Linked DNA regions of Oryza sativa Japonica Group. The protein of the gene in region 1 binds, or shares a complex with, the protein of each later gene. Links are inferred from orthologs where the notes say so. Each region holds a gene or a part of one and is shown in the gene's direction. Other genes may lie near its edges.

Region 1 (3,842 bases):
CTGTTGCTGTTGCTCCAACGATTCTGAAAAGGAAGAGAATATACGAATGATGCCACTAAAAAGCATCTAAACAGTGTATTAGTAGAGCACTCCAGAAGTGTATTAGTTTTTTTTCCCTTTCTTTGTTGATATTGTATACCTATTCAATTTAGCTGTAGAGATGTAGTAGTAACATGATGAATGTTTTCCTCAATAATAGATGACGCTAAGCTGTTGCATCTGTTGCCCCAATGTTCTTATAAATCCCCACGTCCCAATTAACGATGCGGTGGAACTATCTGGTTGTTGTGGTTTTACAGTAAATCTTACTGCTCCCAATTGGATGGGCAACCTTATCCGTCGTTTTGAAATGATGTGTTATTTGCCACCAATTGTCCTATTATCTCCATTTATTTTATTTTCACTTGAGACATTTCTGCAAGATGATATTCAGAACGTTCCCCACAGATTATCCTAATACAAAATGCAATACGAATTAAACTTACATTTAGTAGTACCTAAACTGTTACATCTAGGATTATAAACGTGCTGAAATTCTTTATCCTCCCACAAAAACCCCAGAAATTTATATTCAGAGGAAGCTTATGCAGTTCTTTATCCTCCCACAAAAACCCCAGAAATTTATATTCAGAAGAAGCTTATGCAGCATAGCTGATCCTAAAGGCTACAACATATTCTTCTTTTTTTCCTAGAGAGAGGAGAATATTTTCTTTCGTGTTTACTCCCTCCATCTTAAAAAAAAGCTTAAAAAAAAGAAAGTCAGGAACATAACTTAAAAAAGCTTTAAAAAAAAAGAAAGTCAGGAACATAACTTAAGACTGTGTTCGGGAGGAACTCACCTCTCGCGCACGTAAAACGGAGCGAAGCATTTTCTTATGATTAATTAAGTATTTATTAATTGTTTTTGAAAAATGATTTTTTAAAAGCAACTTTTGTGTAGAAATCTTTAAAAAAACACATCGTTTAACCGTTTGAAAAGCGTGCATGCAGAACACAAGGGAGATGTGTTGGAAAAAGTGGGAAAAGAACACAGCCTAGTACTAACTTAATAGCCTAGTACTAACTTAGGGTGTGTTTAGTTCACGCTAAAATTGGAAGCTTGATTGAAATTAGAACGATGTGACAGAAAAGTTGGAAGTTTATGTGTGTAGGAAAGTTTTGATGTGATGTAAAAGTTGGAAGTTTGAAGAAAAAAATTGCAACTACGGCGTTATCTAGATATGGAGTACTCCTAGCTTGTTCTTTTTTCTTTTTCTTTTTTTAACAGAAGGAGTAAACTAGCGACTTGACCTGTTTGGGCCGTACCCTGCAAGGCCCAACCCAAGAAGTCGCCGATACAGTGGTAGCCTACAGGTGCGGCTACCTTATCGGCTTCCTTCCCGTTGGGTTCTATCCGAGACAGCACCGAGAGCTCCGGGAGAGAAGCGCACGCACCTCCGTCCCTCGTCGGGAGCGCAGAAATGGCGACCCTCTCGATGGTCTCCGTCCCCATCGCCACCTCCTCCCTGCCCCTCTCCGCCCGAGGCCGCAGCTCCTCCGTCTCCTTCCCCGTTCCCAAGGTGAGAAGCAAAGCCACCCCTCCCCCCGCCTCCCCCCTCCGCGCCCACTTCTTGTTCGGCCATTTGCTCGCTCGTCCTGTTCCTTGGTTCTGTGCGATTGATATGTGATTCACGCATGACGCATCGTACATCCGTATCACTTATTGCAACTCAACCCCTGGGATCGTTTTGTTATCTTTGCCATCTTGGAGGTTGGGGAGGCTAGTGGCCGTGCTTTGTGTACTACAGTACTAATTTTGAGTATGTGCAATTCAGTAGTTTTTTTTCCGTGATGTTGGAAGAACAGTGTTCCTGTGCAATTTTAGAATTATTGGCATCTGTGAGGAACTAGTATTTATATGCTTGTATGCTTATGAGTTTGAATCTCTGCCCCTAGCACATATCATGTTGGAAGAATGGATAGTGTTACGAAGTAGTATTTCTTTGGACAGCAGAGTGTATATGTAATTCATGTAGGGACTAGGAATAGCAAAGAAGGTTAATTATGCATATAGGATGTAAAAAGAATCGTAATTCCTTGTTAGTACTCCCTCAGTTTCATACTATAAGTAGTCAAAGTTCTTTAGGTTTGACCAAGTTTAAAGAAAAAATTTCCCCACCCCATTATCTTTACTTGCCCAGTCATTTGTAGGCCTGTGCTTTTAACTGTGTTGTGGTTTTGATTCTTTTTTTTTTATTATTGGGTACTGGACAGAAAGGGGGTATTGGTCATGGTGGCCTGCGGATCGAGTGCATTCGTATTGGTGGAGTGGAGATCCCGAACCACAAGAGGGTAGAGTACTCACTGCAGTACATCCATGGCATTGGGCGGTCACGCTCCCGTCAGATCCTCTTGGACCTCAATTTTGACAACAAGGTCACAAAGGACCTCTCCGAGGAGGAAGTCATCACTCTCCGTAAGGAGGTTACCAAGTACATGATTGAGGGAGACCTTGTAATGGCCCTATCCCTTGCTAATTCATCACTTAACTTTTTTTCTGTAATTTTGGTGATTAGTATGGTTACCCTACTTTGGTACTTCCTCCGTTTCACAATATAAGTCATTCTAGCATTTCCCACATTCATATTGATACTAATAAATCTAGATAGATATATATGTCTAGATTCATTAGCATCAATATGAATGTGGTAAATGTTAGAATGACTTACATTGTGAAACGGAGGGAGTAGCATGTTGAAGATTCCTTGAAATTTGGTACCCTTAAACTGATCGTTCTGAAAAAAAAAAGACTCTGTAGTTCTTTTCCCATTTCTGTCATCGTGGATTTATGTTGTGTTGCTAAAATAGAGTTCTGATGTGTTTGCCATGCTTTACAGAAACGGTTTAATCGTGTGGCGATTGAGAGGTTGAAGGAGATTAGGTGTTACAGGGGCATCCGCCACAAGCTAGGGCTGCCAGTTCGTGGACAGAGGACGAAGAACAATTGCAGGACGCTGAAGGGAAGGAGGGCTTCTGTTGCGAAGAAGAAGTCGCCTGCTTCCCAGGAGGAATAAGACACATTGCCATGTATTTACCTTTGGTTCTTTGCCTCTTGTTTATTTTTTGTGTTCTGCTTGACCACGCTCTTGTCTGGTATTATGAGATTTTATGTTGGTGTCGTCATAGATGAATCACGGGTTGTGATCTGTCACTGAAAAAGTTATATTTGTCACCTGTCTTACATGAACTGATGCTAAATTAAGGTTATACTATGTTTTTCAGTCCATCATCTTGCTGTCTCTCTTCTGTTGTCATATCTATGCTTGACCGACCTGTTCCTGATGAATTAACGTATCGCCAGTTTTCTGTCCATTTGTTCCACATGCCACCGTCAGATCTAATGCCTTGTTAACTTTACAAGCTGAAAGAGGAGTATCAGTGTAGCTGAATAATAATATTAGGAACCTGCCTTGCTGATAGCAGCAGACGGGGCTTTTAACTATTTGCCACTCTTACGAATGGTGCTTAACGATTTGCTACTAGACCCACATGTCATAGACACATGAGGGCCCACATGTTATTGGCAGGGTGTGGCAAATCGTTAATTGCCATGTCACAAGAGTGGCAAATAGTTAAATTTCCCGCAGCGGACACCAGTCGAGATTTTGGTTTTTTGTGAAGAGATGATTTAAACTTGAGTTACCAATTACCATGATTACCATGCGTGTGGTTGGAACATGGAACTTTCTGGAGAGAGCTGCTCGGCTCAATCTTGGCTTGTTCACTTTGTTGTCCAAATCAACCATACCAAATTTTGTTACATTTCGGTACTACTGGCTTTGTTTGGTTTGATATCTTACCAA
Region 2 (2,301 bases), on another chromosome or scaffold:
GAGATTAAAAAAAAAAAAAAAAAGAATTACATTAAATATAGAATATAGATAAATAAACATACACATCTAGATATATTCTAGATCCTCTTTCTTGACTATATATTTTAGTATTTTAATAAATTCAATATTAAAAACCCTAACCTTTCCTATTAATGTGTATCTATCCGTAATATTTTAGAATATTGTGGAATTAGAGAAATTTGGCACACTTTCTCATTTGATTCGCGAGGAGCTGGATGAGAAGAAACTCTCATGTCCAGTTTTGCAGTAGAGATGGAACTAAGAGAGAACCATCGACTATAACCCCAAAAGAACCAGATTTCGTAAACAACATAGAGGAAGAATGAAGGGAAAATCCTACCGAGGCAATTGTATTTGTTTTGGTAGATATGCTCTTCAAGCACTTGAACCCACTTGGATTACGGCGAGGCAGATAGAAGCAGGACGAAGAGCAATGACACGATATGCACGTCGTGGTGGAAAAATCTGGGTACGTATATTTCCCGACAAACCGGTTACAATAAGACCGACCGAAACACGTATGGGTTCGGGAAAGGGATCCCCCGAATATTGGGTAGCCGTTGTTAAACCAGGTCGAATACTTTATGAAATGGGCGGAGTATCCGAAACTGTAGCTAGACGAGCTATTTCCATAGCTGCCAGCAAAATGCCCATACGAAGTCAATTTCTTCGGTTAGAAATATAACCCCCCAAAAAAAGTAGTATTGAAAATAAAAAACCAGGTTCTTCTTTCTGGAAAGACAATATTTCTTTCATCCTTTTGCATTGAAATAACAAATTGAAATCAAAATAATATGATTCAACCTCAGACCCTTTTAAATGTAGCAGATAACAGTGGAGCTCGAAAATTGATGTGTATTCGAGTCATAGGAGCTGCTAGTAATCAGCGATATGCTCGTATTGGTGATGTTATTGTTGCTGTAATCAAAGACGCAGTGCCCCAAATGCCTCTAGAAAGATCCGAAGTAATTCGAGCTGTAATTGTACGTACATGTAAAGAGTTCAAATGCGAAGACGGTATAATAATACGCTATGACGACAATGCAGCGGTTATCATTGATCAAAAAGGAAATCCAAAAGGAACTCGCGTTTTTGGCGCGATCGCCGAGGAATTGAGAGAATTGAATTTTACTAAAATAGTTTCATTAGCTCCTGAAGTATTATAAATACTAGTAGACAAGATATAGATCAAATAAAAAATTAGTAGATTGTGTTTCACGTATATGCTTTAGAATCCAAAACGAAAAGAAAAAAGAGAACATGTTGATTATAGAAAAATTAGGAGGAACCTAGAATTAGAGTCTTATGGGCAAGGACACTATTGCTGATTTACTAACCTCTATAAGAAACGCGGACATGAATAAAAAAGGAACTGTTCGGGTAGTATCTACAAATATTACCGAAAACATTGTTAAAATACTTCTACGAGAGGGTTTTATTGAAAGTGTTCGGAAACATCAGGAAAGTAACAGATATTTCTTGGTTTCAACTTTGCGACATCAAAAGAGAAAGACTAGAAAGGGAATATATAGAACTAGAACCTTTTTAAAGCGTATCAGCCGACCTGGCTTACGAATTTATGCCAACTATCAAGGAATTCCTAAGGTTTTGGGCGGAATGGGAATTGCTATTCTTTCTACTTCTCGAGGTATAATGACAGATCGAGAAGCTCGACTAAACAGAATTGGGGGAGAAGTCTTATGTTATATATGGTAATCGCCCGCCTATAGCGGTAATCGCCCCACCTATAGTTATAGTACCCAAATTCTATCTTGAACTTCCTATTTTTCAAACAAAAATACAACGTTTTTTTATTTGAAAATAAAAAAAGAAAAATAGGAGAAAAAAAAATATGACAGAAAAGAAAAATAGGAGAGAAAAAAAAAACCCGAGAGAAGCAAAAATTACTTTCGAGGGTTTAGTTATGGAAGCCCTACCCAACGGAATGTTCCGCGTTCGCCTAGAGAATGACACCATCATCCTGGGCTATATTTCAGGAAAGATCCGGTCTAGTTCTATACGAATACTGATGGGGGATAGGGTCAAAATTGAAGTAAGTCGTTATGATTCAAGCAAGGGGCGTATAATTTATAGACTTCCCCATAAGGATTCGAAGCGTACCGAAGACTCGAAGGATACCGAAGATTTGAAGGATACCAAAGATTCAAAGGGTTAGGTTTTTCTTTTTTTTTTCTAGGGTAAAAAATTCAAAGTTCTAAAATTCAAACAAAGAGACTTATTTTTTCCAAAAGAGTAAATTCATAGTTTAAGAAAGGAATA

Evidence for each region.
Region 2: small ribosomal subunit protein uS13c (region 1) and rps8 share a complex: the UniProt entries of both Arabidopsis thaliana proteins name them as parts of the 30S ribosomal subunit. The link is inferred for Oryza sativa Japonica Group from reciprocal best matches to the Arabidopsis thaliana genes EMB3137 and rps8.

What each region holds. Positions count from the first base shown.
Region 1 is NC_089037.1:29,173,684-29,177,525, forward strand, and holds small ribosomal subunit protein uS13c, read left to right. Parts: upstream 1-1,366; 5' UTR 1,367-1,460; coding exon 1,461-1,559; intron 1,560-2,253; coding exon 2,254-2,493; intron 2,494-2,876; coding exon 2,877-3,053; 3' UTR 3,054-3,268; downstream 3,269-3,842. Other genes in the region: uncharacterized membrane protein At4g09580, read left to right, coding at 1-50. UniProt on the Arabidopsis thaliana protein: Located at the top of the head of the 30S subunit, it contacts several helices of the 16S rRNA.
Region 2 is NC_001320.1:76,134-78,434, reverse strand, and holds rps8 (ribosomal protein S8), read left to right. Parts: upstream 1-1,326; coding exon 1,327-1,737; downstream 1,738-2,301. Other genes in the region: rpl16 (ribosomal protein L16), read left to right, coding at 305-706; rpl14 (ribosomal protein L14), read left to right, coding at 816-1,187; infA (translation initiation factor 1), read left to right, coding at 1,874-2,197. UniProt on the Arabidopsis thaliana protein: One of the primary rRNA binding proteins, it binds directly to 16S rRNA central domain where it helps coordinate assembly of the platform of the 30S subunit.